2 linked regions of the Kluyveromyces lactis genome follow. The protein of the gene in region 2 interacts with the protein of the main gene of each other region in a biochemical or structural test. Links are inferred from orthologs where the notes say so. Each region holds a gene or a part of one and is shown on either strand. Other genes may lie near its edges. The genes, in order: MDR1 and SEC4.

Evidence for each region.
Region 1: of the proteins of SEC4 (region 2) and MDR1, one has a biochemical effect on the other in vitro, tested with the Saccharomyces cerevisiae proteins (2 studies listed by BioGRID). The link is inferred for Kluyveromyces lactis from reciprocal best matches to the Saccharomyces cerevisiae genes SEC4 and MDR1.

Annotation. Positions count from the first base shown.
Region 1 is NC_006040.1:1,290,308-1,294,795, reverse strand, and holds MDR1 (GTPase-activating protein MDR1), read right to left. Parts: upstream 2,925-4,488; coding exon 90-2,924; downstream 1-89. Other genes in the region: HOB2 (Hob2p), read right to left, coding at 3,384-4,488.
Region 2 is NC_006041.1:1,073,726-1,076,571, reverse strand, and holds SEC4 (Rab family GTPase SEC4), read right to left. Parts: upstream 1,274-2,846; coding exon 629-1,273; downstream 1-628. Other genes in the region: VTC2 (vacuolar transporter chaperone), read right to left, coding at 1-148; proteasome activator BLM10, read right to left, coding at 1,639-2,846. UniProt on the Saccharomyces cerevisiae protein: Involved in exocytosis. Maybe by regulating the binding and fusion of secretory vesicles with the cell surface. The GTP-bound form of SEC4 may interact with an effector, thereby stimulating its activity and leading to exocytotic fusion.

The sequences.
Region 1 (4,488 bases), on a different chromosome or scaffold from region 2:
TTATGGCAATATGTAATGAGCTCCGATTGCCAAAATACATTATAGACATAATATATAGAACTATATACGAAGAGCCGGATTAACAGCGCTTATGTCTCAAATTCGATCAGATCTTTTTTCCCCTGATGGTTGTCTGGGTGAGTAGATTGGTCTAGATCAAATGAATTTAGTTTTTTATGATCCGAGTGCATTTCGTCGTCATCCATATCCATTAAATCTCTATAATCGGAGTGTAATAATTCCATGCTCTCATCGCCATGGTCAGTGCTAAAGTCGTCTAGGTCAATTTGTTTATCTTGACTTGGCGATTCCGACTGCTGAGTGGCAACAGAGTCCACTCTACGCCGTACTTGATTGGCAACTCTTCTACCATCAGCGATTAATCCGTCAAATACGTTCCTCAATGCCTTCGAGCGACTTTCCAGCGCGTTCACCTGCTCATCTACGTGAATAGAGTTCCTTAGGGTGTTAGCAAAAAATTGCTCATATGTTTCATCGGCTAAGACAAGCATTCGGAACGTTGCCAGATCAAGAGTACATGGGGTATTTGGGTTTAATGCGACATTAGCCTTTAGACTATTCCATCTCTTCTCGTTGTTCTTTTTCTTTTCTTCGTTGTCTGTATCGTCAGATAGGTCTAACAGATCGATGGGTACCTCTTGTTCCAATGGCTGGGCATATTCGAAGCATCTTTGTAAGAAATTACTGGCGGCATGCAAATACCTTTCAGATTGTTCAGCTTTATATTTCTCGTCATCGATAACGACGCCCTTCGGTAACTCAATCTCCTCTAAAGTAACAACTCTTCCGCCGTTTTTCTTCACGATGCTTTCCGCGATATCGTTTTCTATCGATGTTTGGGTCAGAAGATCAATACAACGACCAGATTTCCATGGTTCAGTTAGGAATAGTAAGTCTTCTGACATTTTCAAGATTTGTTCTCTTTGAATTTTGCCCGTCTGCTGATCGTCGTAAAGCTGGAAGAAGTTGTTCATGGATTCCATTATATCTTCTGTCTTCATTTTGTCTAGGCCAGAGACAACATCATTCAACGTTAGCTCACCAAAGTTTCCTTTATCCCAACTTTTGAACAACCTCTTCAAAAAATCATTACGTTGTTTCCTGAACCTATGGTCAAGGTCACTTGAACTTGATTTACACCAATCGCATATCTTTGCAAGGAATTGAACAAATGATGTAAAGTCCATTTTTGAGGAACCTGTTCCCATACTAATTCTGTAAGAGTCTATACTCTGGTAATAAATGTCATATATGTTAGAGACTTCATTCTGGCTGAGATGAACGGCCTTTGACACGTTTCTTAGTTGCGTTCTCTTTGCAAAGGATTCAATATCGTGCAATATACCCTTCTTATACTTGTTTCTTTCTGTTTCCACAAGTTCCTCTGTAATAATATCAAACTCCTTGAACGCAACGACAAGAAGTTCCTGGAACTTTGTGATTTGCCTATATTTAACATCGCTAGATTCTGGGTGTGCGCTGTCGTCTAGTCTTTGGAAGTAACTCTTCAAGATGGCAATAAACATACCGTCATCATCAACTTCAAGTAAATCATCTGCATTGACTTTCAAAATAGCCAACGCTACTTGGAACAAAGTCTTCGGGCCGTTCACGAAGAAAATATCCATTATTCTGAAGGCAAATTGAAGAGGCATTGCAATGAAGAATAAAGATAAGAACCAAGGTAAGGATACCACAGATAGTTGGATATCATACTTGGCAATATGATTCCACATTACTGGCATCTTAGATTCGACAAATGATTCAAATACTCGTTGATCTAATAGAGTTCCATACATTGTCTTTGAATAGTACCCTGGAACGTAAAGGTCACAAAGATTACATAGTGACCAAAATGCTTGCTCTTCACTCATAAATATCAACAAGACAGCGACAACAATATTCATTGCTTGGCAGTATCCGACGTCCGGATTTTTCCAAGAATATGCTACAAGAACATTTCTCAATTTGTCTATACCTTCTGGATCTTGATATGCTGCATAATCAGGCAAAGACCTGTTCAAGTCCTTTTCGATTTCTTCAATGGCCTGTGAGTTTTCTCCCTTATGGTCTTCCAGAAGTTTTTGGTACAAATCCTTATTCATGAACCTTTCGTACATTGAACCAGAACATAGTTCCCATATCTCTCCCCTTAATCTATTAGGTATTCCAACTCTTATCAATTTATAAAAAGCTGGATGCCTCAAGAGCGAGAGATTCATACCGTTGGATTTGAAATACTCAAACCATAGCCTTAATTTAGCCTTTTCCTTTTGAAGTGCTGGATCACCAGGGTATTTATATATTTGTCCCAATCCTAGTGACGGTGGTTGCAACTCACGGTTCTTATCTATGTTTTTTTCAATGATATATTCTGAATATAGCGTGCCTAAGAATGCTGGCATGTTCTTCGTCTGTGGTATATTATCTCTCAATTGCATTTTGAGCTTATGTGAGAACTCTTCCGACCTGTACCTTAATCCGATAAATTGAATTATCAATCGAGCTCCAGAAAGCAACGTCACTTGCAAAGAAAAAGCGTAAGAAGCTATATTAGCACGCTCAACCCTTTTAATGGTAGATATATTCAAGACCATAACGCAGCTCATGTGGTCAAATGAATCCCTAAAGACTAGGAAATGCGGAGTTAAAAATAGTCTCCCCGAATAAACATATGTATTTTCAACTGGCTTTTCCCTTGACGTTGCTGATTTACGATTCACATTTTTATACGGACTCAACATAGAGATCTCTGCACTGGTATCATCTAATATATATTCAGTACTGGGCAACTTATAGTCTAGTCTAAACCTCTCATCTCTTGTTAATTTCGGCGAAGAGTTATCTGCAAACTTCTCCTTTACCGAGTTCGCTGTATTTCGAAGCGTATCAAAAAAGGACATGATTTAATACTGCCCAATTGACACCCTAGATTTAATAGCTGAAGCAATTGCACCTGGCTGTTATGCTTTATTACTCTCTTAATGATACCACATTCTTCATATAATGCGCATGTTACAATGTTTAACAGAGTTGGCTTGATTATAACACAACAATATGAAAACCGGGTAACGTCAAAATGATCTACAAAGAGCATTCAGAAGGTACTAACGACACTGAGTGACCCCATTACGCACTAAGATCCGTAATCTATAACGATTACACACAGCATCTATCATTACCATCAGTTTCGTATTATGTATAAATGGTAATAATCGTGCTATATATATCAGGAATTGGAGCTAGAATTAGAATTGAAATGCATGAGTAAATCATCTATCATAAGTAAGAAATTACATATTCGTGTACATATCTGGTCATTAAAAAGGATGGGATTAAATCGTTTATGTCATATGTCCATCTTATGTGTTTGTCTCTGCGGGAAAGAATTCTTCGACATCGTACGTTTCTGGAACTGTATCTATTGCGGCACGAGCGGATGTCGTTGTTTCTTGGTCAGGGATCTTATCTGATTCTTGTGTTTTTGAAGGTACTTTAGAAGTTCTTCTGGATAGTGTTGGCAACGATGCTGAACTTTTCTTTTGAATCTTTTGTAATTCTGGTCTTATCAAGTTAGAAATTTGTTTCAATGGCTCATATTTGTTTTCATTTTTGTGTGGCACAAACTTGTTACCTATAATATTACCAGTGTGTTGTAACACAACTTTCACGATATCCTTCTTGAATGAGGCTATAAGTTCCTCAGATGACCATAATTTGTTGGTGTATTGAATAGTAGGCACTTTCACGATTAAATTATCAACATTTGTTATTACACTCCTGGAGCCTTTATAGCTGACGGACATTATCAAACCATTAACTGAGATTTTAGCAACATTGAAATACTTACTAGATCTCTTCACCATTTCATCCATTTCATATTCAGGGTCATATAAATGTTTTGCTTCACCCTTCAAATTACTTTTATCTAAGACTTTTGTAAAAGATTGCATATCCCAGTCGGTCAATATCATTCTTCTTGTCATTGGAGATCTAACCGAGTTGCCTGTCGAGTTACTGAGAATAGATGGTTTCCGAGACAACACTTGAGATTCGCTATCCGAGATATCGATTGATTGGCGAATTATAGAACTGTTGTCGCTCGGTGTGGATTTATACTTAGGGAATAAGTAAGACATCAATTTTTCAGACGTTCTAAAATCCATTTTGAAAATGATGGGTTGTGAAAGAAGATTCAGCTCAAGTAAGTTTGAAATACCACCGATTGGAACACCCATATTCCACTTGATCTCGATGAAAGGCTTAGTATGATCGAACTTTGGATGACTCTCAAACGGACCTAACAACTCTTTATATATAGGTTTTTGTTGCAAGTTATAGCATTGAAGGGTAGAAATACTGATCTTATTGCTTGTAGAGCCATAGTACGTCTCTGATCTTAAGAAATGAGAGGCTCCTAGACCAAAAACTACAAAGCTTTGTTTACTCTCATCAAACAATTCCCAT
Region 2 (2,846 bases):
TCTTCCCACGGCCAGAAGAAGAACCATTGAACATTTCAGAGTCTCTGATAACGGACTCTTTTAACAACTTTTTCAATTTCTCATAATCGATATAAGAATCCCTCCATGGGGGATAAGTATCATTAGCTAGCTTCACACCAAATAGCATTGTGCCTTGAATTTAAAAAGACCAAATCCCTCTTTTGACAATATTATAAGGGTTATAATAAACAGCAACCCTTCCTGGTTATAAAGCTGAAGATGGTGATCAGGATTACACTTCTCAATTCAAGATACAAGGAAGCTGAACAAGAAAATAGAAATCTACCCAACTGTTTATTGGCTAAATAAAATCTTTAAGTCCATCCTTATATCTGTTTCTTTATTTGCATTTCCTTCTAATGCACTCTTTATATAATCATCGATGCCCTTATATTGGGAAAGTTGGGCAATTTTATATTGATCTTGAGTGGCACGTGGAGATGGTCATGTGATTATTTACGTCACGTGTAAATCACCTGATTTGGAATGGTCGTGTAAAGTTACCTTTGAACTTTCTAATACATACCATTTGAATATATATATATATGTACACACACAAAGCCAATGCATAGGTTGTTATTTCTTATTGTACGCTCTGATCTGTGGTTTAGCAGCAATTGGACTTGGAGCCTGAAGAGCCTGAGCCACGAATGCTTACATTTCCCTCCTTTTCAGCCTTTCCTTCCATCTTACCATCATCGATCTTTTCTTGGATCAACTTGGCCAATGTGAAGAAGATTTCGCTGACGTTGGTGTCGTCTTTGGCACTGGCTTCAATGAATGGGATCCCTAGCTCCTTAGCAAGAGCTTCACCTTGTTCGTAAGACACGGTTCTTGTATCCATGTCCTTTTTATTTCCGACTAGCAGCATTACTACATCCTCGCTAGCATGTTGGTTAACAGTGGAGAACCATTGTCTGATGTTTTCAAAAGTTCTTTCGTCAGTAACATCGTAAATCAATACAATACCCATGGCACCTCTGTAGTATGCGGTTGTGATGGTTCTGAACCGTTCCTGGCCAGCAGTATCCCAAAGTTGTAACTTCACACGTTTCCCATTGATGTCTACGGTTTTAATCTTGAAATCGATACCGATTGTGGTGATGAAAGTTGGTGTGAACTTATCTTCAACAAAACGAACCAAAAGACATGATTTACCTACACCGGAATCACCTAGAAGTAAAATCTTCATGACAGAATCATAGTTTTTATTCGTGCTGCCGTTAGCAGAAACCGTTCTTAATCCAGACATTATAGTTTCAATCTCCCTTGTTTCCTTCACGCTTCAATTAAGTGAAAAAAATTGATATCACAGTTCAACACTGTTATTTTATCTCGATATATTGGAGGAGTGGCGAGCTGGTTATATCTGGTCAACAGAATCTGGGTTTTAATAGCTCGGCCGTAAAGTGTTTGGGTTAGTGCCTTTCGTGATGGCTATCCTGCTTTCACCCTTTCAAACAATATTTGTCCAAAATCTAGATACTGATCGAATTCGTATATGGTGATAGGCATACCCAATGTCAAGTTAAATTATACGATTTATACTTGTAGATGTACATATATATTCATGTGCATACGCAGCTTGTGGGTCATCTGTGTCGATTGTGCAACTTCTCAGGCGTAGTAACTCCTCCAAAGAACACCTTCCATATCTTCTAATTGCTCCGAGGTGAACTGGTATCTGTCCAAATGCCAGGTATCTGCTCTAACTTTCTTGTATCTAGAGATGATGTTCTTTGCATCAGCACCGCACATACCGCTTGTTCTTGCCCAGGACGCTAGTAGTGCCATATTCTCTGGAATCCAATTTGGTAACGGTGAAACGTACGGGAATGCTTCGATGATGGCACCGAGACCCAAGATCGCACCGTGAATATCTGTGTTGGATTTGGAGAGTGCAGCTTTCTCCTCGAAAGTATATGAACCAAGTTGACGCTTGAAGTTTTCCAAGAGAGTGTGCAAAGTATCGGTATCATAAGATATGTTATGCACGATACCGGCAAGGACATAGGAAGCCTTGAGACGAACCTCTACAAAACTCTTACAGAACAATTTGTCCAAAACGAACTCTAAGATCTTCACTTTACCAGCATGGTCCATAACCAACGATTGTGTGGAGAAAAGTTTCTCTGCTAAAGTCAAATTCACACGTAATTCATGAGAGCTAGTCAAATCTGTGTCATCCAAGATCGAAATTATGTCAGGTAACAACGTGCGGCTTATTGGAATGTATGCAAGTTCCACGTAAATACTGTAAACCTTAATGTTGACCATTTTACAAACATCTCTCATTCTGTCTAACTTCATCAAGAAGGGTGCCAAATAACATTTAGCAAATGGACCCAGACACACTCTAGCACCAGTATTGATTAAATGAGCAGCCCAATAGAACATAGTTGATGCCAAGTAGAAATACCTAGTCTTCAAGATGTCCTGAGCGGGTAGGTCCTTGATCAACAATCTTTCTTTTTCAATTTCGTTGAAGATTTTAATAGCCCTCTCTCTCAACCAGCTTGGGATTTCTCTGATCTCAATTGGACCAGATGCCCCCGTTTCGAGAAGAGACTTCACGTTTGGACGATGAGCATTTGCCTTTATGTAGAAGATAACTGAGAAAAGTTTACCAACTTCACGACGAACCACGTCGGAAGGATGGTCAAAGACTAATTGATCGAGTAAATTTTCAACAGAACCCATCTTGAAACCTACATCTGAAATTGCCTGTGTGACTATTATCAATTTACCAGAAAGTTCTAATGAAGATTCACTTTTAACATCAAACAATCCATCCACGGTCAAGAACCTTTTGTATATTTGAGCAG